Linked DNA regions of Solanum lycopersicum. The protein of the gene in region 4 binds, or shares a complex with, the protein of the main gene of each other region. Links are inferred from orthologs where the notes say so. Each region holds a gene or a part of one and is shown on either strand. Other genes may lie near its edges. The genes, in order: putative serine/arginine-rich splicing factor, serine/arginine-rich splicing factor RS2Z32, U1 small nuclear ribonucleoprotein 70 kDa, serine/arginine-rich splicing factor SR45, suppressor of mec-8 and unc-52 protein homolog 2, serine/arginine-rich splicing factor SR45a and serine/arginine-rich splicing factor SR30.

Region 1 (3,966 bases), on a different chromosome or scaffold from region 4:
AAAATATCATGATGAGCTCACATTGCAAGTTGCCTGGTTTAGACTCAGTCAAGAAGGAGGGTTGCAATATGCTGACTGTTAATGTAAAGCTTATCAATTTATGAAAGTGAGGGAAAGCTGCTTGCAATGATTTGGCCAGATATGTCGTAAATCTCTAAGATGTAAAAGAGAACGAGGTAGACTTGAAAATATGGCATTAAATTGTCTCCAAAAAATGTATATTCTAGAGCACACACGAAGAGAATATTACAAATAAGTGATTTTAAGTAGTCGAGATTAAAGCTTAAACTTGTTGATAAACTCACCTAGTCAAATATTTGTTAGGGACTCTGAAGTTGTGGTGCAAAATCTGTATGTAAATAAAAGGTGTAGACAACATTCATTTATTGATATTTGAATGAGACATATATACCAGTGTTTTCAAAGGTGAATTTAAAAGTGTTGAGCCCGTCGCGTCGCTTAATGTCCGTTTCACTTTATTCATCAAGGTTCCAAGACATACTTTTCTTTGCCACTGAGCTTCTTTGAAAAGGTGACACTAAACAATGGACATTTCACTTTATTGTGATAAATATTTTCAGCTTTTTTGACCATATAATTATCATTCATGCTTCTAGCTATTAGTCTTAAACTAAACATATATATTTTGTATTGTTTACCCTTTGCGCCTTTTTCCATTAAAACTCACATTTTATTAGCGATTTGTGCTACAAGCCCCAAACACTCAGAGCTTTTTGCACTGTTTGCTTTTGACGACACTGGTCTATACGAGACGAAAAGGATAGTAAGATAATGAAGATTCATACTGCCAACACTAACTAGCTAGGTATCAAGGCTTAATTGTGATGTTATTGATCATGGTGATATCAACAGATAACGGGACATAGAGGAAACAGATTCATTACTTGCTAAATATAGTACAAAATGAGAATCCATCTATCAAGGTAATGGCATACCCAGTGTGATAATTCTTGGGAAGATAAACATCTCTTATGGGACCATAGCGTTCAAAGGGGACCCTAAGATCTTCTGGCCTGCAGAAAAAGTACAAAATGATTAACTTTGTATCAGGTTCAAATCCCAACAGATACAGAAGAAAACTAGGTGATTCTTTCTCTGTCCACCCTTGGTAAATAGAGTTACTAAGTATCTGTTGCTAGTGGGATGTAGCAGATATCTTGTGGAATTAGTCGATGCACGAAAGCTACCTCAGAGACCACGGTTATTAAAAGAAAATAGCAAAATTTGATGAGAGAGGGAGAGAGAGCAAGCCGTTAATGAAATAGAAATGAAAACTACTCTACCCAACCTAAAGAAAAATTGGGTGTGCAATCTTTTATTAACCCAAGTTCACTGATAAGCAGAAACCACTATAAAAAATATGCAATTTCATTTCTTTTTTCATATTCTATAATTACAAAAGGTCTATAGCCATCTGACAAATAAGTAACTTTATAGCCCATGTGTATAAATGTATGGAGATAAGATAGCTTATTCCTCAACATTAGCTTTTAATTGTGATGTTGAGGAATTAGCTTTTACGCCCAAGACTTAAATTTTTATGTCCAGGACTTACGCTTGGATATATGTTTTAATTTACACCCCAGAGCATTTTTGGTACGCCCCGCCCCAAGACTCGCCCAAAAACGTTTTTGAAAACACTGGTTCTTACATAATATTTTTTTTTGTCCGACACTGAGTTGATTGATTAATCAATCAATTCATAATTATCTTTTGCAAATTCAAGTCAAAAAGATGAACTTAAACAGGTCATTGATATGTTGTTCTTTAGATCCAATATAGCATAGTAAGTGTTGGAAGAGTGCTAATTTGCCAATCGATCCAATTATTTTGACGAAGTTATTCCCTAATTTACTATGAGAATAAAAAATGTATTTGATGGATAATATAATTCAAATCAGAGTGATGTTGTTGAGATAAGTTCAGGAGAACTTTTATGGTTTGAGAGGAGCTCAAGTTGAAGGATGCAAAGCTCTTTCGATTTTGAGATGTCCCAAAATATTTAACACCATTCTATCCATTCAATAAAACTTTCAAGAACTCCAATTTATTTGTTACATTATTATTTCAATAGATAACTTTGATCTGAAGTTTTCTCTATCGAACCGAGCTCTCATAATCAAAATCATTATAATATATACAAAGAAGGATTAGTATGAGGACTGAAATAACTCAAAAATCAAATTTTGGTTGACAAATGCATGAGCTATTAAAGGCCTGTATGAAAGAGACTCATTGTTAACCAACATACCTAGAGAAATAATAACCTGAAAAGCACAAAAGGCATAACACTTGAAAACTCCCTTAAACGCCTAATAAGCCATTTACTTCAGACAAAGGCATGTTAAGCATTTCAATCACTGAGATAGGGAAACTGTGACTTGCATATGAGTTCACAACAACAACAACAACAAATGAGAAAGAGAATTGCCATAATTTATGTTAATGTTTGGGGGTGGGGTAGTATCTGGACCAGGTAAAATGGGGAAGAGGATTCATACCTGGCGCTAAGGGGGATATTACGAACGAGAAGGCCAGAAGGTCCCGGAGAGCGACGTTCTCGGCGCCGGTCACGTGGTTCATCGTGGCGTTTACGTCTCACGGGACTGTAACTTCTGCTAAGGCTCCGACTACGGCTTCTGTACCTTCCCATTACCCTCGTCCTCTCTCTGTGAAGAGAAAATCCAAAACCCTCGTTTAATTTACTTGGAATTGAAAACCCTAGCTCACCTCTCCGATTCAGAGAAAAATAAATTTTTCCTTTATTTTTGAACTAATACACAAAACGCCCCCTTCTTTCATGTAAAGCATATAATAGGTCCTTACGAGAGTTCTTGGCCAAAAACATTTTTAGATAATTTGAAAGTTAATAATTTTTATTTTTTCATTAAATATGGTCAAAAAACTAAGGAATTTTATAAAAATATGAGTAGTTCATCACGTGACTATTAACAAATGTCTTATCTTTCAGTAACAAAAAGAATTTGGAGCTTAATTATCTTTACCTTTTTCAAAGTTAAATGGTATTTAGATCAATAAATCTTTGAGTCAATCTAATATTGAAGTGATTATGTCTTGCATTTGAGTTTCGTTCTACATTATTAAAAGTGAAATATCCAACAAACGTCGTTTCTAATCTATTCAATTGAGAAAAAAAATATTTCAACTAATATAATTTTTAACATCAAATTACATGAAAGATAAATGAAAACAACAGTCAAATTAAAAGATTTTGCATAATGCTAATTTTAAGTATCGAAAAAGTTCACGATAATATTTTTAGCGTATCTAAAAATTATAATGGCAAAAGAATGACTTGATTTTTGTGAAATTTGTTAGTTTTATGATAAATTCAAGTTGAAAGATGAAAATTAAATGTTATAACTGTAGTTTGATTTAATTGTACCACATAGCAAACTATTGTTATTTCACCTCCCTCCTGGTGAATCTTGCTCGCCACTCTCGTTTTTACCCTCGCCTCTCTCGCTTTTATAAAAACACAAATGTATAAAATGCGTTTGTGTTTTAATAAAGCGAGAGAAAATTGTATATATACATATATTTTCGTTCCCCTCTCCTAGATCTCGCTCGCCACTCCCCAGTTATCGCTTGCTCAATCGCCTCTCTCGCTTCATACAAAAATGCAAATGTATAAAATATGTTTGTGTTTGTATAAAGCGAAAGAAAATTGTATATATATATATTTTCGTTCCCCTCTCTCCTCTCTCCCAAATCTCGCTCGCCACTCTTCTGGATCTCGCTTGCTCAATTGCCTCTCTCACTTTATACAAATGTGCAAATGTATAAAATGTGTTTGTGTATGCATAAAGCGAGAGAAAATTGTATATATACATATATTTTCGTTCCCCTCTCCCAGGTCTCGCTCGCCACTCTCTCGGATTTAGCTTGCTCAATCGCCTCTCTCATTTTATACAAAAACACAAA
Region 2 (4,213 bases), on a different chromosome or scaffold from region 4:
CACGCCGAGGAGATGGTGAGCGGGAATAACTTCGGTCACGTCTGTCATTCAAAAACAAATAATAACCTTTAATCATTAAAGTATACTAGAACATCAAAAAATACACAGGGTGAAATAAGGTGGCAACTAGGAAAATACTTCAATTTCTTGGGGCTATTCTGACAGTTCCTTTCTATATGACCTCGGTCTCCACAGCGGTAACACTTGTTCTTCCAGTCCCCAGCTTTACAATCTCGAGCCCAATGTCCATCAATTCCACAATTAAAGCAACGACCAGTACCTGGAGGAGGACCTCTGCCACCAAACTCTCGAGATCCACCTGGACCACGAGGCACCTGCGATGCAAGTAAACTCCAACATAAAAAGGACAGCTTTTTGTTTAACCAATCTGAAGCATTAGATAGATTAAGGCGTGCATAACTCCTCAAAATACCAAGAAAACAAATCCTTGAAGCAACTTAACTACTTCAACGAAAGTGATAAACCAAGATCTTCTTTCTCCCCTCTGTGACATGCCAATTGTAGAGTAATATACTTATATTGAGAACTGAAGCATCATCTCGGAAATAATCGAGTTCCACCATATTTTCCCACTCATTGGGCATAAAGCCTGAAATTCTTTTTGGTTTTTCTTTTTTTGCATTGATATTCAAAATGCACATGTCCATGTGAGTGTAATTTGCTAGAGTTGCAAAAATAAAACATAAAGATACTATGCATATTGCAGTTACGAACACATATCAAATCCAAACTTTTACTCACCCCTTTGGCGAACTCCACGATAACACGACTTCCATCAACATCTCGCCCATTTAGGCCGTATCTTGCATCATCGGCATCTCGAGGATCACTAAACTCCTAGATTTAGCAGTATATGAAGAAAAGAAAGAAGCTTAAATCACAAATATATGAAACAAGGATTAGATGATCACCCTACAACCCTAAGAAATATCATTAATGAAGAAGTGAACAGAAAAGGAAAAAAAGAAGAAGAAGAAAGGCGTACCACAAAAGCATAGTCACGCTTCATATCCACATCACGTACTCTGCGTAAATGGGTTCCAGAAACAGTAAGGCCATCAAGTCATAAGAACCAAAGGGTTGATACTTCGCCCCTCAAAGATGAACTAAACACCACTTTTTGGATTGTGCCATTTCCATCAAAAAAATACGCAATAACATTATAGAAAGAATCGCCACACTCCGCAAGAATGGGAACCAATTCATCAAGGGCAACCTCCCACCACAAACCTCCGGATTGGGCAAAAACATAGAAACCTTCATAAACATTATTCGAGTTAAAAACACCAAGACACGGGGTGTTGCTCTCACATTTTCTACAAATTTTAAAAAAATAAAACAAAGGTCACTGTAACGACTAGTGTGTCTCATCTCCACCCCCAAAGAACAAAGACTGTGAACTACTAGAAGCAACATCATTTCTAAAAAATGATCACAATAAAATAATCACCAAGTACAGCAATCAATCAATCAACACCTAATACCAGACAAGTTGAGATCAACCATATGAATCTTTTATATCTATTCTACTCTACTTAGGCGTATTTCATTCCACTAACAAAATTAAACAACTAAAAGCTCAATCTTTATCCTCTTGGAATCTCAATATTCAATTACTCAAATTTCAATAACTTTCCGATCACTGCATAAAAGTAATGAATGGTTAAAAAATTACCTCCCATATCTGCTAAAGACGTCCTCCAAGTCTCGAGATCGCGTCCGGGAAGACAAATGTCCAACATATAGGCGTGTGCCACCATACCTGTCATCATACCGCGGCATCTTCTCTGAAACAAACTACCCAATTAGCTCCTCTCCTAATTATACTATCTCTTAACATAAATTTGTTTTTAGCTCATATACTTTTTTTTCCAAATGAATTCAGCACAAATGAAAGCTCAATAAAATATCAAGCGAAATCAGAACTAAAAAAATGCCTAACGAATGAACTATCCGAGTCAAAAAGGAACATATAATACAAAATTTCATGATAGCGCATCTTCCCGGATGAAACTACCCAATTAGCTCCTTTCCCAAATTATATGATCTCTTAATCATTAAAAATAGCTGTATTACTTTTTTCCAATGAATTTAACACAAATGCCAGCTCAATAAAACATCAAACGAAACTACAAAAAACACATATAATACAAAATCTCATCAAACCACTACATCTTCACTGAAAGTAACTACCAAATTAGCCCCTTTCCCATATTATATGATCTCTTGAACATAAAAATAACTCCTTTACTATTTTCCAATCACTTTAGCACAAAATGCCAGCTCAATATACATCAAACAAAACTAAAACCAAAAAAGGCATCTTGAATGAATTTTCAAAGTCAAAAAGCACATACATATTACAAATGCACATCATACCAAAAGAAACTACCCAATTAGCACGTATATAATAAAAACAGCTCAATTACATTTTTTCAAATGAATTTAGCACAAACGCCATATCTATATAACATAAAACAAAACTAGTAACAAAAAAAACACCTCTTTACGGAATATTCCGAGTCAAAAAAACACAAAATTTCATCCAAATTACTCGGAATTAATACCAATTTCTAGATGAATTATGCACAGGCACATATATTATGATGAAGAAAGCTATTTTTATCAAAAATATATGAGAAAAAAGGGTTTTGAATCGCAAATCGCTTACCTGAAAATTGAAAAAGGCACAGAAATGTAAGAACCCTAGATCCAATTCGTTCAAAAGAGTATAGCACAGTGGTCTCTCTCTGATTTATATACTAAAGTTTGGGCCTCAACAGCTATGGGCTTATTGTTATGTTGTTTTCATGGAGTGGGCTTCTAACTCTAAGCCCATTTGAGTTCTCTCCCAAATGTGAAACCTCCTCCTCTTTTTTCTTCTCTCGGGCGGAAATCGGAATGCACGAATATTCGATTTTGATGTATTCATCTAATCTATATCGAAATTAAGAAATTACAAGTTTATCGTTTATTTAGTTGTTGTTGGATATAGAGAAGGTATACGCTTTTCCACCTGAATCCTTTTCTGCGCAGTCTACCGTTTCTGATAACAATTCATAAGAAAGAGAACGAAAGCAAAATAGAATGAAAAGAAAAGAGATAGAGTTCAAACGTTTTCCATCACAGGTACATAAGAAATGTTTGAATTCTTTTCCCAGTGGAAATTCCATAAAGTGCGAGCCAAGATCCATTATACGAAAAACAAAAGCATTATGAGTAAACACACGAAAATCTTGATGTATTTCTCACTCAAACTCAGACAATAGAAAATTATAGTACTATTTTGTTTATATATATAAACTAAGAATCTGACTAATTGAACGTCAAACATTTATTAAGGATAGCTTCTCACTATACACGTGATTGACAATCTCTTTTATAAAACGCATGAATTAACACGTGACACTAAAACAATTAAAAAAAAAAAGAATATATCTGCAAATTATATGTGCGCCTTCCTTCACTTTATTCATGTATATCGATTTGTATTTATTATATTTGGTACTATTGTAGCTATTTAAAAGCTTTTGTCAATGTTCATTTTTCTCATCTCATTTATTTTTGTGATATTCAATTATTCTTCTAAGCGAAAATTGCATAATATGAATGAGAATTTTTAATCGTTGTATTGATTAAGTGTCTTTCGTATAAATAACGTTATATATAATCTATTCTAAAACCATACATTTTATCTCAAAAAAATTGAATTAGAAAACATAATAAATCAAAAATGTTAAAAATTCATAATTCAGATTTACGAAATCAATAAATTAACCATATATTACACAACAACATCATATTAATATTCAGTCACACAATTGAGACTTGAAGGATATATATTATAATATAAATAAAGATTACTTATCCACTTATGATAAAAATATTATTTCGAATACATCCTCTCTCGACTCAATCATATATTATAACATCTAAAATGCGAAAAAAAAAAAACTCAAACACGACCCCCCCTCCCCCCCCACAAATTACGACCCGAATAAGTCAATCGGGTTGAATTTTTTTTCGACTGAAAATCAAGTTACGCCATATATATACACACACAAATCTCCGTATTTCATTTTCTCTACCGACGTTAGTTTCATAAATCAAAAATCTCTTCTTTAACATTGAATAATTCTGTGCTTCGAATCATATATTATACTGTAGTTCCTTACCAAATCGATATCTGTAA
Region 3 (3,692 bases), on a different chromosome or scaffold from region 4:
CATTTTAATTATGTAAGGGAAATAGATTAAAGGGCCACACAGACATGTAAATCGTGTTGATATAAATGTCATTTATATGAAACTCTTTTTACTCGTACAAAACAAAGCATGCCTTTGAACAAAGTCAGTAAGGCGTACTTATTGGTAACTACTGAACTCCAAGCATTTTCTATTCAACATTTTATGTAAACGAACTATACTTCTTGGCTATCAAAACTCTGACCATCCATAAATATACAGAGCATACGACCCAGCAAGGTAGAGACATCTCACTCAAAACTCAAAGACCTGTGGTTAAAGGATAAGAACGAAATCCATTTCACACATTTATAACTACTTTGAAGCCTGAAAGACATGATAAAGATATCCCTACAATTTTCTAAATAATTTAGACGCTGGACAATTTAATTAATTTATTATTATTCTACAGGATTCCAGCCCCCTCGAAGAAATATCAAGACTATTTTGATCATCGGATATAATACCCAAAAACAGATCCATAATAAAGTGCCACAATACCATAACATAAGCGAATAATCTGTTCAACATACAATACCACATAACAAACACATTACCGCGCACACATCCCCAATAAATTCGCATTTAACAAGTCACATTAGAACTCAGCAAGTAATTTACCAAACAATTCCAAAAGAAGATACAAAATTCAAAACATGGGCTGATGCGCCGCATCATCATCTTTAATGTTTCCATCCCCGCACTAGTCAAGTAGGTAATCCAACAGATAATTGCATTTTCACTGAGGTATCAGTAGGCCATGTCTTCCTGTGAGTCAAAAATTCAGACAAGTCTAATGCAGCAATATTATTGACTGACAAATTAAAAAGTACCTACATAGCATGTGGATTTTATTGCAACCTTACCACAGCAACACAGGCTGAAGCATACTCTTCATCGTCAGTAGTCATATTCACGAGAATGTGACCTATCTGAACGCTTGTAATCCCGATCCCTTTCTTTTGTCTCAGATGCCCCGTGGTCATAAGCATAATTATCCTCTTCCATTTGATCATAACGATCATGACCACGACTGGCATCTTTATAGCGATCATCCCCACCTTGTGCATCTGGATTCTCATAATCTCCTCGACCTTGGTGGTGATCATAATAGTCATAATGTCCATGATCATCTTCAGGTTCTGCAGGATCATAATTCCTCTCTTTGTCACCGTGTCGGTCTCGCTCGTGTTTTGAATCAACATGCTCATAATCATATTCTCTATCACGAGAACGCCCACGACCCTGGTCAACCTCACCTTCATCCCTACCTCTTTCCCTGTCCTTCTCACGGTGACGATCTCGCTCACGGTGACCATCCCGGTCTCTGTCTTTGCCTCGCTCACGGTCACGTGTCCTATCACGTTCGCGGTCTCGATCACGGTCACGACCACGATCTTTTTCTCTTTCTCTGGTTCTCTCGCGTTCCCTATGATGTTTGTCATCTCTTTCACGTTCCCTTGGCCTGTCATGAGAACGCTCACGAGATTTCTCTCTGTCCTTATCTCGCACCCTTTCACGGGACTTCTCCCGATCCCTGCTAATATGGGAATTCATAATTGTATTAGACGTGAAACACATTATAGTATTAACTCACATTTAAACTAAACAGAGTAGTAAATCAGACAACTCATCCTTGGAGAAGTAGAAATTTGTCTGGGAGTCAAATTGGGAGAAAGAAACTCAAAGCAAGCATAAGCTATAAATGCCTAGGTTGTTACCTATCCCTGTCATCTCGTGCTCTTGGCTCCTCAGAGCGAGATGCTGCCCTTCCAGGCTGAACCACCTCTCTGAAAAATAAAAGGAGTATTAGAGTCTTCAATAATTAAAATTCCATCCAAGAATTTAAGCTTTTCACTTTTACAATCATACCAAGAGGGCAACTACACAAAAAAAAAACTACTTTTAAGAACATTTTACGAGTAATTATCAAACTGAATGCCAAACAATAATAAATTCAACTTCTAAGCAAGACGTCATACATAAATGCTCAGAGCAGCAAGTCCTTTATAGGGAAAAAAACACAAACTGAAGCATCCATATAACCCAAAAGATGAGTTGAAATTCAAAAAAGCAGTTCATGTCAACTACAAGCAAACATGTCTTGCTGTATCTATCAAAATAGCGTTCTTACTCCATAGACACTACAGGAACCATTATTGCACTAAAGAAGAGCTGAGATCAATGTCCGTTATAGCACTATGCAATGCACATATGACAAGTTCATGCAATACCTAGTAGCATCTTCATTTCCAACTCTTGTTGTTCCAAGTCCACCACCAAGTCTGCGGGGACGCCAATTGGGGACTGTTCTACCACGTTCTACATCAACCAGCACTCTTCTATTATCAATCTTCTTTCCATCAGCTTGTTTATACGCAGCTGAATTATATCCAAAAGAATTAGAGATGGAAGTGAGACTTCGAAAAGACAGAAGAACAGGAGTTTAGAGAAACCTTTCATATCCCGTGTATGCACATACTCAATGAAAGCATAACCCCTGGGTTTATTGTTTGTCTTGTCCATAACCAAGCGAACCTGAAACTCAAACAATTTATGGAATTGACACTACTAATAACATTATAATCATTTTCGATGCAGCGGTCAAAAAAGTTAATGTTTTTTATCTACTCAACGCGATTAGGTATAGTAAGCTCCTAATGGCACGGCAGGCACTATGCCTAATTAGCCGTGCTCACCTTTGAATCAAAGAGCTCCCAGGCGAGATGCTTCACCATCACTGCTAGAGTTGCACAAGAACTGTGGCCTTATGTTTGCAATATATTCTAACTCCCCTTACCAGGGAACATTTTAAAATAAAATAAATTATTATAGAAGTATAGTCAAATACCAGGTGTCTCCTGAAATGCTTGAAACTTTTTTGATAGCCTTTGAATCCAAAAGTAAAATCTTAGCAGCATAGATGGGATGTAAGAAGAGTAAAGAAGAGAAAAGGTCGATACTCCCAACAGTTTTTTTACCAAGTAAAGGCAAGTATCAATCTCCGGTGTTGCTTGGAATAAGAGGCCAAAGATATATTGCATCATTGCTCTGCTCATCTAAGTGTTCAGCTTTGTTTCATGTAATGTAGCTCGGACTTGGAAATTGAATGGTTATGTTTGGCAACTCAAAAAAACATAAAGCTACCAGATAATTAAGTTTTACCCTTACCAGGAAAATACCTAGGAGTTGAACATCTTTACCTTTGTGGTTCTAGAAACTAAAGGAATACCAGAATGAATAGTACTTGAAACTAATGATATCCAAACCAGGATAAGAGGATAAAGGCATCAAACTGATACTCAATAATTGGAGTACTGTTACCTGAGGAAGGGCATACTGGCAATCTGACCTTTATTTTACAAAGCAAAGAAAAACTAGTAACTTCACAAAAAAAATCACCCATTTTCAGAGAGCAGTATGCACCTCGAACACCAGGGAAGAGTGCTAGCAGTTTAAAAAACAATCCATTTCTTAACTACAGCCTGAAGAGATGCACCCAAAGATACAATTGAAAAAAAAGTTCTCCGGATAAAACGTGTTTTTTGATGATCTGAAGCACTAAGAAAGTCGAGAGCTAATCAGTTTATTATTTAACAGACAACTGCCGAATTCAATAAGTTCTTATCAAAATACTGAAGTGCAATCCATGCTATAAGTTTATACACAGAATG
Region 4 (4,022 bases):
TCCATTTTGTACCCTATCTTCTATAATTGTTATTAAGCATGGTATTTACCAATTGCTTAAAGTTACAAATAGTCTATAGTCATGGTTAATAACCACAACCAACTCTCTTCTCTTGATCTCCTAAATAACAATTAGCAAGATTTGATTGAATTATTATTTGTACCAATCTCTGTGGAGACGATCTTTATGCTATACTATCTTTGACTAGTGAAGCGCTAGATCTATAGTTCTTTTTTTTTTTTGAGAACATGAAGCGCTAAATCTATAGTGTGTTTGTGCTCGTCAACTAACTCATAATAACAGGATTAGACTAGAACGTCTGACATATAACCAGGCTAAATAAACAGAATAAATAGAATCTATAACCAAAAGGTTGGACCATTTCACAGTAATGAACTAGAAGTTGGCGTTCAATTCTTTGGTTTTAGACTCTTCACTTGTTGAAGTACCAAATACCAAACCGAATTTCAGTTCTGTTAGGTTCTTCTGTATGGACCTGATATAATGGGCTATTTACCCTGGACGGGCTGTTGGGTTATCAGTTGACAGTTACAACCCTAGCTTAGTGTAGAATTTCTACAACTCAGGCAAAATAAACTTCACCTAATCAAAAAGAAGTGCAGAACATACCAAATATTTCTTTCAAATGGTTTTCATTGACATTCCTGCTGAGTTGATCCACATGAATTACACGCGACTCAGGTATAGGAGATACTTTCCTGGAATCAGATCCCAAGTGTTACACATCAAAAAGCCTATCAATGCATATGTCAGAAGTGCTACATGCAGTAACATTTTTGCATCATCAGAAGATATTGGTATTAGTAACTATCTTTATCAACTGCATCCAAAATGGATGTGATGCATAACTGAATGTTGCACCAACAGCACGCATGTCTGAGTAATTGGGATGGAAAGGAATTGAAGAGCATTCGAAATCATTTATGAACAATCGTGTCCAGCTGCAATGCATTCTCCAAAAAAAGATCTGATAAATGCAACTGAGTCCACATTCAAAATAGCTCACAATAACCCAGCACCCTACTGTATGTTAATTTCATTTGGAAGAGGAGAAAAACAAACCAAGAAAAGAAAGGTATCCCCCCCCCCAAAAAAAACAGAAATTTGGATGTTATTGGAAGAGGTTTATAAGTAGTTATTCAATGAATAAACCAAAGTCGAATCTCAGCTTAAAAACAAACAACATTACCTTGGAGGTGGAGAAGCTTTCTTAGACTCTGGTGGTGGTGGCGGCGAGCGGCCTCGCTTAGATACTCCAGCAGGGCTAACAAAACCATATAAACAATAAAGGATAGGGTTTAGGATCATTCAGAAATAGGACGATTGGTGAAGTACTTTAGCTATTTTGCAAGATAGAAAACTAATAGAACAGCAACATTTCAAGAAATTTTCATGCTAGTCCAACCTGTCTAAGCTCAATAACAAATAAACAAAAATATATGACGACAAAAAAGAGGCCAATCTTCAAGATTAACCATAGTATATCTTGTTTCCAGTTTTCTATTCCAGTCATGTGCCTACCTCAACTTCTCCACAAGCAAGTACCTGCTACCTCACGTATCGGATGACTCTGTCTATCAATACTTAGATATCTAGCTTAGACAGATGGAAAGAAATAAATAACATAATGTCTTTTGTCTCTGTTGGATTTGAAACTTGGTCTCCAAGATTTTCGCCCACTTCTTTCACCACTGTGTTACACCCTTGAGTTGTGTTTCCAACTCTATTTTATACAGTCGCGGAGGATTGAAATCAGTTTCTTGTTGTCTAAATGGAAGAAAGGCAAGAAAAGCAAAACCGATGCAACCAATATTCTAGTTTTGCTACTTGCATGTTGGAATAACTTAAGAAAAGCAGCAGGAAATGCCATAAATTATCAAATATAAGCTATCTGCACTTGCAGAAGCGAAGTGCAGCAGAGAATTATGTCACATGGCCCAGGAATTAGAGGACACAGCTTAACACTCTTCAGACAGTGGAAAGGTATGGAACAACTATGAATTACATAGCAAAAATAGCCTCTTGACCTATATAATGTTTGAGATGCAAAACTACAGAACATATATCCATTCTATATCTAACCAGACGACAATCAGACTCAGATTCAGCAACTAGCAATTTTAATGCGACTTGGTGCTACTTGTGCCCGACTCTACTTCAACCATAAGACTTTTCTATGTCATAAACCTCGCAAATCTAACATAATTCAAGCAGCCATAAGCACATTAACCAACAGCAGCAACTACTTCACCTCAATTCAAAGAAGTTAAAGCATATTTGGGCTTATTTCTCCTCTATAGTTTGCAAGTTAACTCTCCGACATCAGACATTCTGATGGCATACGAATCTCAAACTACCAGTATCACGTAATAAAAAAGAAAAAGCGGGAAATTACTACAGAAATGCATTATGCAACTAATACACATTTGAAAGAGAGAGTAAAAACCTTTTTCGTTGAGATGGAGGGCGACGACTAGGGCTGCGAGAACTTGCACTCCGGGAAGCAGAGGAAGATGAAGAAATTGATCTGGAGCGGGATCTAGATCGAGATGGAGAACGCGAACTTGAGGAGCGAGAGTTTGAAGGAGTGTAAGAGCGAGACCGGGAACGGGAACGAGACCGGGAACGAGAAGACGAGCCTGACGGTGAAGCCGCACGGCCTCGACCTGGTTTCGCCATTGGCAACAGCTTACTCCGAAACCCCAGTGATAAACCCTAATAACAGAGAACTGTCGACAGAGTACATTTGGGCAAAAAGGTTATCAGCTTCTAGCCCCGAAAAACAAATGGGCCGAAGTGGGCTGTATCCCCAAAGAGTATTCACTGGGACTTACGAGTCGTTTGATAGAGTATACATTGATCGTTTAGTAAAATATTTTGTAATAATTGGATTAGTAATATTTAGATATTGTAATAATTGGATTAGTAATATTTAGATATATTTTTAATTATAATTTGATTAAATATACTAACAGCAATTCTGTTCTTAATCATGTTTATTTATGTATAAATAGTTTTTGTATAACTAATACGATAATTTACTACTTTCTCTATTTCAAAAAAAATGTCCCTGTTTCTTTTTTAGTCTGTTTCAAAAAGAATAACCCCTTTCCTTTTTTAGTAACACTTTAATTTTAACTTTTCACGTGGTATATTTAAAACCACAAGATTAAAGGGCATTTTGATACATTTGACATAATTTTAATTTAGAATCACAACATTAAATTTTTTTTTTCTTAAACTCCGTTCCTAGTTAAAGGCCTTTTTTTTTAAAACAGAAAGAGTATTATTTAGTTATATACCATATAATACTAAATAACATAGATCAATCATACATAAACTTAAAACCATACTAAATAAAGAATTATTAATTAACAAATGACTATACACATACTAAATTTCCTAATACACTTGCCATTTTGATTTTCTAATTCTAGTTCGTACACATTTAGACAAATTATTTGTTTGCATTTGGACTAATACCACTTTAATAATGTTGCGCATATCTCGATCAATAATTATCAACTATATTCATTAAGATTTGAACAGATAGAAAAAAAATTTGATTTGAACATGAAACTTCAAAGTAAAGGTTAATGTATACAACAAGTAATATAAAGTCGAAGAGTTTGAGATAGTTGAGAGACTTTTTTTTGAGGAAATGACATCCTAAAAAGGATGTAATTTGAGCTATAGGAAACCATTACTTAATGCCAGCCACCACACAGCAAATTATGGCTCACAACAAAGATCAGTAAACTAGCCATTATATATACATTGTTTCCTTAATGTGGACTATGTATGACATACAGATAACAATCAAAGCAGGGACAGCAACAAGAGGCAATGACTCGAATGTCCTTACTCTGGTTGAGCGAAAATGAACAAGGTCTTAACACCACGCGTACTTTAGGCTTATAACAGATGAAGCTCACGAAGTTCAGAAGTAGTATAATCAAAGCACATACAGAGCTGTACAAGTATATTTCTCGTAGAGAAGT
Region 5 (3,989 bases), on a different chromosome or scaffold from region 4:
AGAAGTGCAGCTCCTTATCAATGAAGAGAAGAGATAACTCACCACCAACAAAAGAACAAGAAAAGGGCAAAAGGGACCCCCTCCCCCAGCTCTTCATTAATGTACAGGTGACAGAAGAAGATCCAAAAGCCCAGAAAAAAGGAAAAAGAAGCAAGGTATACTTAGTGTTGGAAACACATAATAAGGACTCCAGAGAACCAAAATGCTCTTTTTTAGTCTCCATGGAAATACAGAATCATACTATATCTAGTTATCAACTACCTTCACACTCAATTACACCCTGTGCCCCGGTTTCAAAGAAGAATAACCCACATTCTATCCCGGCTACAAAACATTCTATTGTACTTCTTTATAGGAAACCAGGCCCAAACTCACTTTCGTAAGCAATAATATTAATAGGCCTACCAAGGATGCAACAACACCAGTCGGAAATTAGAGAAAAGGTTCCCATAAAACAAACTGGATATATAAGAATCTACATCACATTGTGACTCTAATTACTTTCAGAAAATACAGTAAGGTTTAGAAGGCACGAACGCTAAGCACCTTTGCTATCTTTTTCCTTCTTCTTCTTTTTGAGAACTTTTCCTGATGATCCAAGACGGAGATAGGACATGATTTTAGCTATTCGGTCTAGAACAGAACCATCAACACTGACTGTAACCATTTCCTGAAAAATATAGATGAGATAACCCATTCAGATGGAAAATTCAGGAAGAAATTGCCTGACAGTAATGCAGTATGGAAAAGGGAAATACCTCGAGGACTGGACAGTCAGCTTTGCTTCTGTGTAGAGTTGTAGGAATATCATTGGAGTATCCACTATCCTGCAATATACACATCAACCATAAGTGAAGAAAAAGAGAGACCGTGAAAGAAAACATACACACAGTAACCGCAAGTGAACAAAATCTTCACATCTTCTTCACTATCCATATTCCATATGACACATCTGATCACCAAACATTTTAGTAGTAAAATAAATCAACTTCAACGATTCTAGCATCTAATTTCCGACAACACCCTTTCCACCTTCCTCCAAGAAAAAGAATGGCCTTCAGAAGGAAAAGACTATTCACCCCCGCCATACAAGCTAAACTCTAGCGTGACATCAACAGTTAACTACAGTTTTGCCCAAAAAAAAAAAGTATGATCCAATATAGAAATAGAAGCTTCTCAGCTACCTATCACAAGTACAAAATTTTGTTTACTATTACATCTCAAGTCTAAGCGCACTATAAGAGGACTCAACTAATGGTCTGTGAAATAATTCCTTTTCAGGCAAGTAGAACCTAGCATACACAACACATAAGAGCAGAGGAAGTATAAAAGGGAAACATACCATATTAAAAATAAAAGCCATCCGTCCAGGAAGAAACATTTCGTTGGTCTTTATAACAGTCTGAGGCTTGATTATCCATTGGTATACTGACTGAAACCCCAAACTTACTAGTCACTCTATTGAAACATAACTACACCAAGCAACAACTAGAAATATTTGAGACGAAATCAATTGAAAGAGTTAATGCACCTTGGCAGTTGCAGTACGGAATGACAATTGATGATCTTCCTTTACACCTCTATTAGCAAAAGGGATAAATAGAATAGTTAATCGAACAGTTTCCAGCAGCACTGCTTCTTAGACATGGTGTTCAAAAGAACAATTCACTAAATATGCTCATTACTTTGCATATACACAAAAAGATGTTAGCAGAGTGTCCCTAAATCAGGGTAATCTATGGAAGAACATATAAAGGGGCATCTACAAAAGAACTCCCTATCTAAAGCTACAGTCTTATCCAATGGGAGCTACACATGGATCAACTTTATTAGCTGAAAATTACTAACAGGCTCTTGGAGAGTCAGTTACTTATTCCTGGGGTTGAAGTAAATGAGTCATACATACAACTAAGCAATAAAGTAACCTAGTACTTACCTAGCTTTTCCTTCTAACGCCTCATCTCCAGTTTCTGGCTTCTTATCTATTTCACTTCTCACTTTGTGAAGCAAAGCATAATCTAACCCTTTAACCAAATGTGTATGTTCCACATCACCTAATTTACAATCAGCCAAAACAAGGATTGATTAGCTGAAGCCATATATCAAGAAAACTGCTGAACTGAAACTAAAAAATATTCTTGTACAACCACAGACTATACGAACCTCCAAGATACTTGCTCTTCTCAATAGATAATTTCTGAGCATCAGCAGAGCTGTAAAAGTTCAAAACAAGAAAGTTAGAACAAAATTAAACGAAGAAAAAGAGAAATGGGTGTTTCGTTTTTTTTTTTTTTACAGGAGATCAATATTCCCGGGAGGAGCAACAGCATGAAAACCACCAAATTCAGTGAGTTCATAATCAGGATTTTGATCTTCTCTCCTTTCTTTAGCTCTGTCTCTGTACTTTGGTAACTCCGGTTCTTCAACCTTCTCTTCTCTGTAACAAAAACAATAGAAAAATCCCCCATTTTTCAGCAAATTAAAGAAGGATCTATTGAGATTTACATAATCGAAGATGAAAGAGAGAAACAAACTTGTTGCGACGAACAATCTTTTCCTTGTGATTTCGCTTTGAAGAAGACATGATTGAGACCTTATTCCCAAAAATTCCAGATTAGGGTGAAACGAGCGAAGAAGACAATCAACCTCATATAAACATCCCCAAAAGACTAAAATAACCCTAACTTCCTACTTTTTGTTTCGATTTATCATTATTCGATTTGTGAAGATAATCAAATCAATAAGATATACACTATCAATTTTTAACTAATTGATTTTGACAATCTAATGAGCGCGTTTTTTATTTAATCGATAAGAAAATGGTGTTATATATATATATATATATATATATATATATATATATATATATAATGTCCATCTAATACACTTAGGGGTCGTTTGATAGAGTGTATAAGAATAATGCAAAATAGGGTGTATTAGTAATGCTTGCATTAGTTATGCAATTATTATTTTTTATACACTGTTTGGTTTGATGTATTAGAAAAAACAAATCTTGCATAATTTCTATTTAAAAAATGTATGTTTACAAAAATACCCTTTACACTTTATTTATTTTTACACTTTCTTTGCAACAAGGTTCTTTGTTAAAACATCAAAAAAGATTTCTTTGCTAAAACATTATTTATTCCTATTCTTCTTCTTTTTCTAATATAAAATTAAAAAATTGTTACTACATTAAAATAAGATTTAAAAAGAACAAGAAGAAGAAGATGTCAAACATCTTCACAATTTTGCCACCATACGTCTCAAATAGAGGAAGTAATGTCCTCTTATTTATATTTTTTTATTTGTTGATATATCAAACTCTTGTATATGATCCATTGTCTTTTTCTTAAAAAGGAAAAACGAAAAAGAGAAAGGCTGCATGGTCTTCTGGTAACTTTTTGTGACAATTCCTTTTTGATTACGATTACCATTGCACTTAAACTTTACAAAGGAGATTTTTCGAACAATTTATATAAAAAAAAAAACTAATTACATAAGGACTCTATTTGCTGGAAATCTGTCAAAACGCGGCTGGGTCGACGAACCTCGCGACGGATCGTCGTGGTCACGATGGACCGTCATGGACTCCGTCATCCCATACTTGTTCAATTTCTTCTGCTGCTCTCTTCATTATCCTCAACGACAGATATGACGGATCGTCACAAGCACAACGGTCCGTCGAGGGTCTCCGTTCCAAAACACTTAAACTCTTGGAATTTGGGTACTGGACTACTTCTCTGACCTTCATGACGAACTAGCAGGACGGATCGTTATGAATACGACGGTTCGTCACGCACTCCGTAACCTCACATTTGGTTAGATTTCCCCATCTTCCTTCAGCAGCTGCACCACGATGCCACCTACGGACTGTCGGAATCTGGACAAATGTGGTTCTATTGATTTTTTTTTTGATGAAGTAAATGTGGTTTTATTGATTCAATGTTATGTTATTTGTGGAGAATCTTCACCAATTATTCATCACC
Region 6 (3,954 bases), on a different chromosome or scaffold from region 4:
AATAGCTCCTCTTTGACCACCTAGGTGATACACTGCGCGAGTAGCTTCTCCGATACCGAGGAGAAATGCTCCGAGAAATGGAACGATATCGGTTCCTTCGATAATAGTAACTGTTGTTCGGAGAGTAGTCGCGATAGCGGCTCATTCTGTTGTCACGAACATCTGGAGAGTCTGAAAGATCATGGCTTTCAGGAGAGTAGTCACGGTAGCGGCTTCTTCTATAGTAACGGTCATCTGGAGAATAGGAACGATCACGCCGATGATTGTCGGGAGAATAGTCATGGTAACGGCTCCTTCTGTAATAACAGTCATCTGGAGAGTAGGACCGATCACGCCCATTATATGGGGATAAAGATCGAGAGTAAGATCTTCCACGACTATAGTAAGGAGAATAAGGTGATTCTGAGTAGCAGTGGTGCCGACTGTAATACGATGAGTGAGATCTCTGGCGTCCTCTGTAATAAGAGTATGATCTATGCTCTTGTCGGTAATATGGAGAGTAAGACCTGCTCCTGCTCCTGTAGCTTTCAGATGAGTAACAAGGAGAGTGATTCCTTGAATAATGAGGATAAGTTCGTGATTCACGACGAACTACATTTACAAGGTGGAAATTAGAAGACATCACAGACAAATAACCCAGGTCAATTATTGCTTAGGAAAGGATACAATATCATACCGCGAACAGTTCTAAGCCCCAAATATTTTCCTGGAGTAGGTGTTCTACCTCTTCTCCTCCTGGCCTGCATAGGATACAATTGTCAGACAGCAAATCTAGACTCTGGCAGGTTGATGCAATATAACAATATCACGATATAAGTAACCAATAGAAAATGAACAATAGCAACAAGGGCGCAGCTGAATAAAGAAAAATGAAGGCTACAACCCTCTGGTTGACAGTCTGTTTGCTTGATGTGTTTTGATTTGTTATTTGGACTTTGGTGAAGAGCTGCTACACACAGCTACCTTGCTGCCAAAGAAACTCAGGCGAAACAAGCAAACAACTTTCAAACTGATCAAATTACTGAAGCAAATATAAGATATTGATACAACTGAGAGCTGATACCAGCGAAAATTGCAAACATAAGATTCAACAAAACTGAGCAAATATTCAATAAATTCTACCTTCTCCACGGTGATAACTCTGCCTTCAAGTATTGAGCGATTCAGAGACTTGATGCAGCGATCAGCCTCCTCAACGCTGGACATCGTCACGAAACCAAACCCACGAGATTCGTGGGTCCATGGGTCTAAAACAAGACGAACATCTTCAACCTAACCAGAGAAAAAAGCATTTAATGAGGTTGATATCCTCGACAATGTGAACGCACATGGGAGCAAATCCTACGGAGTTCTTTTCTTTTGAATAAAGTGCAAAAGACCTAAATGAACTGACTACAGAGAACGGGAAGGCAATCTGAAGAAGCAACAAACATACCTTCCCCTCAGCAGAAAAATGCTTCTCAATATCTCGCTCCTTAACGCGGGTTGAGAGACCAGTCACATACAAATTGTTCCCTGGGTTCTCAACATCACTTGAATCACAGCTCCTGCCATTATAATAAAGTTAAATAACATGAACTCTAATTACCACCATATTAATAGAACATTGCCAACATGTACCTTGACCGACTCCTTGAAACACATCTGGACCTTGAGACAGACTTGCTATATCGATCGTATGAAGGTGAGCGAGAATACCTGCAATATAAATGTCATATTGAACATGACTAGGAATAATGACCATATAAAACCCATATTAAGACCAACAATACCTTGACCTCCTGGAGTACGACATCTGCAGTTAACATCAAACAGAATGGTAAGCTTAGGCTAATAATATTGAGAAGAAAGACGATAAAACAGGGTGTTTTATCACAAACCCAGCAGATATATAGTAAGTAAAACCATCAAATCAAGATCACTGATTTGTCAAACAATACAAAACTAACCGATGCAGACAATATAATTCCTCTAAATCGACTCTGCCTCACTCTGTCTACTCCGTTTCAATAACGGAACATCAATTTATCTTTTGATTTAAATTAAAGGTTTCCTAATTCCCATCTTATATTCTCCTCTATTACTTTACCTTTTAGCTTCTAGAATCCCAGCAATCATAAAAGTAGAAAGTAAAGTTCTCCTTGGTGATTAAAGGATAACAAACTATGCGATAGGATCATAGTTTGAAATTTGTCAAACCAAGCAGACAACAACAATTAGCTACTGATAAAAATAGAGGCGGATCAAGTACTTAAAACTTTTATATAAGGATAATAGAACTGAACCAATTCCACTTTTATGCTTTAATTCTGACTTTAAATCTATAACACTGGTAACGCTTTACACATCTATATATATTTATGCTCCCGTGGATGTACTGGAATTCAAAAGGATCAGTGTGAAAAGCATTAATTGCTATATGTCAAAACAACAAAATCACAAATCAACTCAAAGACAAAAATACACAATAAACCAAAAATCGACCGAGACTGTTTAGTTCTCTATGTTCTGGGCAAAAAATGAACGGAAGAATCATCTAATCCGCTTAGGTAATAGAAAATTCAATTTGAATCAAACGTTGATGCCGATCACAAACGCAAATGACATACAATCTCATCAGCTTTTTAGCTAATTCGTATCGAAGAAAGGAATTAAGAGATGGAAAAAGAAGACTCACCGTGAAGAGATTATGGTAGCGTAGGATCGAAATACTTCTCTTTCTCTCTCTAATTTGCGAAGGCTCTCGAAATAAAATGACTCGGTTGGGAAAGGCTTTCTACTATATACCTGTAGCGTAAAGAAGTTTCTAGATGAGGGACACGAAATCCTTTTTGATTGGACTTGAATTTGTCACATTATTCTACCAAACCAAAAAAAAAAAAAATTGTTTCTATCCATATTTAAATGGAGAAATTTTCGTATATAGTCATTTAAAATAGCTAATTACTCTCTATAACTATAGTTTAATAATTATAATTCGTAACTATGTGTTATATGGAGGAGAGAAACAAGCGAGACCGGAGGAGAGAAACAAGCGAGACCGGGAGAGAGTGAGAGAAAGGTGAAATATACATGTATATCATTTAGTAATTGTATATTATACATATGTATTTGTATATATGGCAAAGTGAGAGAATGAGAAGAAAGAGAGAAGCGAGCGAGACTAGGAGAGGAAGGAGAGAGGCGAGCGAGACAGGGCAGAGAGTGGGAGAGAGGTGAATTGTATGTGTGTGTAAATGTATGCTATACATATACATTTGTATATAGGGCAAGCGAGATTGGAAAAGGGAGGAGAGAGGTGAGGGAGATTGGGAGAGTGAGGAGAGAGGCGAGCGAGAGGGGAGAGAGGTGAATTGTATATATATAGGTTGAATAATTATATATTATACATATGTATTTGTATATTCTGGCGAATTATACATATACAAACGTGACTATTATACAAACTCAAAATTAGTTCACGTAATTAATGTATAATATTAATTACGAGTGATAATTATAGTAAATTATAACTATGATAAGTAATTTTAATAGTATAAATCTATTTTGTTGCGTAATTTTTTCTATTTGAATATGAGAGATTAAAACCCAAGGCCTTTCTCGAAGCAGGCCCAATTGATTTATGGGCTCAAGTAGCCCAAAATCAAAATAATGGCGGGAACTTATTTTATTTTCTGACAATTCATTTCCCGCCAATAGGGAGCCCTATATTCTCGAGCACACTTTTCCAGCAGCTATATAAACCCTAACCCCATTACTCCACTCATTTTCGCTCTATTTTTCATTCAGACACCTCTGTTTTCCCTCCTTCCCCATTTCAAAACCCTAACCCTAGTTTCCCGCAGAGGACAAAATGTTGGAACTACGTCTTGTTCAGGGAAGTCTGCTGAAGAAAGTTCTAGAATCGATTAAGGATCTGGTGAACGATGCGAACTTTGATTGTTCCGCCACTGG
Region 7 (4,078 bases), on a different chromosome or scaffold from region 4:
CAAGTTCAACCTACAAAGATAATTATAAACAACAATATGGTAAAACGATCCGACTTCCCACATCACCACATCACCAAGAGAGGAGGGGAGGGTGTGAGACAACTAACTCGCAAGCGATGCCCGTCAAAGTCATAGCCATCACGCCCACGAATGGCATCATCAGCATCACGAGGATCTTCAAACTGGAAAATACAAAAGGAATGACACCAATTAGATCTATCGGAAATTCTGTAGCATAAAGAAACGCATGCAGAAAATTGAGCTATCTCCCAATACAATAAGGGATTGTTTGGTTTAGAGGCCACTTACGCCAGGATTAGTAATGTAAAGATTAAGAATACAAGGATTGCATAACGCAGATTATTTCTTGTTGGTATTTAGTTTGATCAGGTTACATATTAATAGTATATGTGTATAATTTTAAAACATATGTTTGCTTTTAAAAAAAAAGAACTATTATGAATGATATTCTTGCCATTTTTAAATCCATGTATTACATTACAGATACACATATTTTTATTTCTCATTCTATCCCACATAAAATGATTCCTGCATAACTCATGCATGTATTATTATAACGAAAACAAAAGGGAACAACTAGACAGTGTATTAAGTAATTCTTGCTTTTCTGTGGAGACTAAGATCAAACTCCAATCAAATATTGTGTAAACTAAAGTTGATTTTTATGTGGGGATATATCTCCAAAACCCCTAATAGAATGATTCCCAAGGATAAAACTAACATCTTAGTGATTCAACTCTTAGAAAAGAACTCACCTCTACGAACGCATAACCAGGTGGTCTAGGTGGAACTTTCAAATCAATTTCCACAATGGGACCATACTGCAGAAAATCACCGAGAAAATTCAGAAGGTAAGTGAATACACATCAAAAAAATCCATAACTTATAATATATCTCAAGGAAACCTACCTAGGAATCAACCAAAAGCAATTACATTACTTAACATAATGACAGAAAGACTTGAGCAATAAACTTAAAACATGTCTAATTTATATTGCATTGCGAAGTTGTGTGGCTTCTCTATTAGGAAAAGAACACCAAAAGTACCAAATTAGATGGCTTTCAGGAGCTACTTCGAAAACTGAAAGGCCGAATGAGTACTGTGACAATAATGGAAGCTCACTGAATAGGTCCGAACCATTGAAGAGATTAAACTTAAATGAGGAAAAAACAAGTATTCTCACACTCTAAAAAAGCAAAAGAAGATGATTACGCTTTCATTAGAACGTGATTTGGATAAAAGGAGCAACTTATTTCCCTCTGTGTTAATCAAATTCGTTCATCCTCCGATCCATCCAAAAATACAACTTCTCATGAAACCTATTGTAGCTTTTTTAGGTGGCATGAACACAAAAGGAGCAACAAATTGAAGGTAAATGTATAGATTAGTGATAGCGAGCACATGAAATTGGATACAATGTATTTTTCCAGCAACTAGTAATTTATCTAACTAACCTTGTAAAACAAATCTTCTACTTCTCTCTCCCGAATATCACCAGGAAGATTTCCAACGTAGATAGTCCGACTTAGACGACCCATATTGCCTGAAATCATTACCCAAAAAAATAAGCAGCTTGTTCAAACATTGGAAGTGGTAATGTGGACAATTCTTTTTAATTTATCTAGTAAAGTAAGATTTAAGTGGTAATGTAGACAGTCAAGAATGCAAATAAGAGAAGTTTATTTCCTTTTTCTTTTTTGGTTTGGAGGGAGGAGAGGCTTACCAAAGTTGACTGTAACTCATCCGTGAAAGACTTAAGGAATGGCCAAACTAAGGAAGGATAAAACAAAGAAGAAAAGTAAAGTAACATCGCAACAAAATACAAGAAGATAATCTTAAAACTATAACAGTTCTTGATTTGTAAAAGAAAAGCTTCTAAATAAAGAATAATGTTACAAACACCAAAATCAAAATGAAGTTTTATAGAATATAAGAATCCAAGTAGCAAAAACCATAAATTTATCAATCTAAATCATTTTTCTACATAAAGAATAAGTTACGAACACCAAAATCAAAATAGAATCCGAGTAGCAAAAACCATAAACTTATCAATCTAAATCAATTCTTAAAGATTATGCTCGTCAGCAATAGTAGTCACATCTAACATCAGATATACAAAGAAATAACTTCCGAAGATATTTTCCAACAGGTTCCATCAAAAGGGAGAAATAACTTCCGATCATTTATGACTCAACTCTCAAGTCATTTTTCTTGCACTTACTATCAACATTTATACCTAAAAGTTTCATCAGAACAATACCAAAATTTTTAATATTATGGATAGTTAATATCTAATACTAACTTTTAGGGAAAATAGTCATCACACCAACACATACGTTAGAAAATTATTTTCCATTAAAAAAAAAACGTGCCAAACACTCAAATAACCGCCGATTAATAGTACGGGGAGACGGAAATCAAGAAATTCAACGAAATTCTTTACTGATAGGTAATCCTTTATATATTTAAACTGTTCTTATTATAAGCTCTTGATTATGATCGCATAAAAAACAATAGAAAAACCCTAAAGATTCTTCAAGAACTAGGAAATCAAAAATTATGTGTGACATAGAAAACAGAATTTTGCATAGACAAAACAGAGAAGCAATGAAAAATAATAGCATGTTATTTTGACCTAATAAATTGTATTAGGAGAAGAAAAGGAGAAGCAGCTAACCTAGAAGATATACAACGACGACAGGTTGCGTAGAAAGCAAAAAATGGAAGAAGATTAGAGTTGATAAAATAAATAGAAATAGTTTTATATATAGGAGAAAAAAAGTCGCTATCGAACGTTACGTCTAGAAACTTTCCTAAATCTAAACACGTCGATACATGACATCTGTCCTAGGACACTTTTGAATATTTTAATGATAAAGTAACTCATAAGGAATAAGATAAGTGGGAAATAAAATATACTTTTCCAATGGTGGTTATTTTTTCAAAAACAAAATCCACTGCATATGAGAAATCAAATATGCAAAATACGTGTTTTAGGATTAGATTATAATTATTCTTCTCTCACCTATCTTTCGATTTTATAATAAATATAGGAGAGTAAATTTTTTTTTTCTGAATTAATAGTGTTCAATAATTTGTCAAGAATAGCATAGTAAATTTTCTTGTTGTTTTCAACTATTTGATAATTGATCCTTCTTCATGTGTCTTATCATTGTTATCTTAAGCAAGTCCTTAGAATTAAAGGTTAATATTTAATTAATATAATAGATATCATTAATCTACAAATATAAAATTAATTATTATTTAATGCCATAAGCAAACACCAGCATAGAAATTCTTAGAACCAGAGGCATATTTAGGAGGGGTTAGTGGGTTCACGTGAATTCATGTTCTTTATTCTTAAATCAAATATAGTAGTGTTATATTAGTTAAAAAGTACTTAATTATAGATGTGTAAATCTATATTTGAAACGTCATATAGTGTCGTGTGATGATTAGATGCACGTGAATTTAGAAATTTGAACCTTTTATTTATCTTGTTTTGTTTTTCTTTTTAAAAATTAGGTAAAGTCTCTTATCTAAGTGATTTGGATAGATAAAAAATAATTTTATATTTATATTTTTAAAACTTTAATAATTTTTTAATACTTAAAACATAAATACCAAACTAATCGAACTTTTTATTTTAGATTCACATTTTCTTAATAATACATTCATAATCTAGCTTAGAATATACGCATAATGATTGGTTAAGGGAGAGGATGGTGAACTCTTATAAAAGGATAAAAATATAGCATAAGCAAGTAATGAGAGCACAATATGATCAAACAACTCAATTCAAATGGTTACAAATAGTTTGAATAAAAACTAATAAATCTGACCATACAAGTCATTCATATCAATTTCTCCAATTGCCGCCCACTAATAAGAAACGGTTAGAACAAATGAACAAGAATAATAAAATTACAAGGAATACAAAATAATTTTTGCTTGGTTTAGAGACACGTTAATACGTTTCTTGAAGATAGTTAGAGTCTTTCCCATGAGCAATCGGAATAATAAATAACAACTCTATCTTTGGGATTCAACTAAGCC

What was found.
Region 1: serine/arginine-rich splicing factor SR45 (region 4) and putative serine/arginine-rich splicing factor share a complex: the UniProt entries of both Arabidopsis thaliana proteins name them as parts of the spliceosome. The link is inferred for Solanum lycopersicum from reciprocal best matches to the Arabidopsis thaliana genes SR45 and SCL28.
Region 2: serine/arginine-rich splicing factor SR45 (region 4) and serine/arginine-rich splicing factor RS2Z32 share a complex: the UniProt entries of both Arabidopsis thaliana proteins name them as parts of the spliceosome. The link is inferred for Solanum lycopersicum from reciprocal best matches to the Arabidopsis thaliana genes SR45 and RS2Z32.
Region 3: serine/arginine-rich splicing factor SR45 (region 4) and U1 small nuclear ribonucleoprotein 70 kDa share a complex: the UniProt entries of both Arabidopsis thaliana proteins name them as parts of the spliceosome. The link is inferred for Solanum lycopersicum from reciprocal best matches to the Arabidopsis thaliana genes SR45 and U1-70K.
Region 5: serine/arginine-rich splicing factor SR45 (region 4) and suppressor of mec-8 and unc-52 protein homolog 2 share a complex: the UniProt entries of both Arabidopsis thaliana proteins name them as parts of the spliceosome. The link is inferred for Solanum lycopersicum from reciprocal best matches to the Arabidopsis thaliana genes SR45 and SMU2.
Region 6: serine/arginine-rich splicing factor SR45 (region 4) and serine/arginine-rich splicing factor SR45a share a complex: the UniProt entries of both Arabidopsis thaliana proteins name them as parts of the spliceosome. The link is inferred for Solanum lycopersicum from reciprocal best matches to the Arabidopsis thaliana genes SR45 and SR45a.
Region 7: serine/arginine-rich splicing factor SR45 (region 4) and serine/arginine-rich splicing factor SR30 share a complex: the UniProt entries of both Arabidopsis thaliana proteins name them as parts of the spliceosome. The link is inferred for Solanum lycopersicum from reciprocal best matches to the Arabidopsis thaliana genes SR45 and SR30.

The regions. Positions count from the first base shown.
Region 1 is NC_090800.1:76,026,055-76,030,020, forward strand, and holds the start of putative serine/arginine-rich splicing factor, read right to left. Parts: upstream 2,801-3,966; 5' UTR 2,675-2,800; coding exon 2,523-2,674; intron 1,035-2,522; coding exon 957-1,034; intron 1-956. UniProt on the Arabidopsis thaliana protein: Involved in intron recognition and spliceosome assembly. Probably active at the 5' splice sites.
Region 2 is NC_090804.1:67,964,612-67,968,824, reverse strand, and holds the start of serine/arginine-rich splicing factor RS2Z32, read right to left. Parts: upstream 2,801-4,213; 5' UTR 2,693-2,800; intron 1,809-2,692; 5' UTR 1,804-1,808; coding exon 1,697-1,803; intron 1,279-1,696; exon of another isoform or gene 1,047-1,278; coding exon 1,007-1,046; intron 859-1,006; coding exon 763-858; intron 336-762; coding exon 139-335; intron 42-138; coding exon 1-41. UniProt on the Arabidopsis thaliana protein: Probably involved in intron recognition and spliceosome assembly.
Region 3 is NC_090801.1:64,630,852-64,634,543, forward strand, and holds the end of U1 small nuclear ribonucleoprotein 70 kDa, read right to left. Parts: intron 2,557-3,692; coding exon 2,475-2,556; intron 2,401-2,474; coding exon 2,253-2,400; intron 1,809-2,252; coding exon 1,740-1,808; intron 1,559-1,739; coding exon 919-1,558; 3' UTR 501-918; downstream 1-500. UniProt on the Arabidopsis thaliana protein: Mediates the splicing of pre-mRNA by binding to the loop I region of U1-snRNA.
Region 4 is NC_090809.1:751,335-755,356, forward strand, and holds the start of serine/arginine-rich splicing factor SR45, read right to left. Parts: upstream 2,801-4,022; 5' UTR 2,701-2,800; coding exon 2,468-2,700; intron 1,286-2,467; coding exon 1,211-1,285; intron 720-1,210; coding exon 631-719; intron 1-630. UniProt on the Arabidopsis thaliana protein: Involved in 5' and 3' splicing site selection of introns, and may bridge the 5' and 3' components of the spliceosome. Isoform 1 is required during flower petal development and isoform 2 is involved in root growth.
Region 5 is NC_090806.1:9,685,499-9,689,487, reverse strand, and holds the start of suppressor of mec-8 and unc-52 protein homolog 2, read right to left. Parts: upstream 2,801-3,989; 5' UTR 2,585-2,800; coding exon 2,535-2,584; intron 2,438-2,534; coding exon 2,297-2,437; intron 2,214-2,296; coding exon 2,164-2,213; intron 2,055-2,163; coding exon 1,937-2,054; intron 1,581-1,936; coding exon 1,532-1,580; intron 1,433-1,531; coding exon 1,343-1,432; intron 828-1,342; coding exon 759-827; intron 671-758; coding exon 547-670; intron 1-546. UniProt on the Arabidopsis thaliana protein: Auxiliary spliceosomal protein involved in splicing of specific pre-mRNAs that affect multiple aspects of development.
Region 6 is NC_090805.1:50,114,495-50,118,448, reverse strand, and holds the start of serine/arginine-rich splicing factor SR45a, read right to left. Parts: upstream 2,801-3,954; 5' UTR 2,678-2,800; intron 1,796-2,677; coding exon 1,773-1,795; intron 1,699-1,772; coding exon 1,621-1,698; intron 1,548-1,620; coding exon 1,436-1,547; intron 1,273-1,435; coding exon 1,123-1,272; intron 741-1,122; coding exon 677-740; intron 592-676; coding exon 1-591. Other genes in the region: PCNA (proliferating cell nuclear antigen), read left to right, coding at 3,854-3,954. UniProt on the Arabidopsis thaliana protein: Probable splicing factor involved in constitutive and/or alternative splicing events. May bridge the 5' and 3' components of the spliceosome.
Region 7 is NC_090800.1:85,834,309-85,838,386, forward strand, and holds the start of serine/arginine-rich splicing factor SR30, read right to left. Parts: upstream 2,801-4,078; 5' UTR 2,700-2,800; intron 1,793-2,699; 5' UTR 1,746-1,792; intron 1,566-1,745; 5' UTR 1,561-1,565; coding exon 1,477-1,560; intron 843-1,476; coding exon 777-842; intron 183-776; coding exon 108-182; intron 11-107; coding exon 1-10. UniProt on the Arabidopsis thaliana protein: Regulatory splicing factor that modulates alternative splicing and gene expression in specific cell types. Autoregulates its own expression. Probably involved in intron recognition and spliceosome assembly.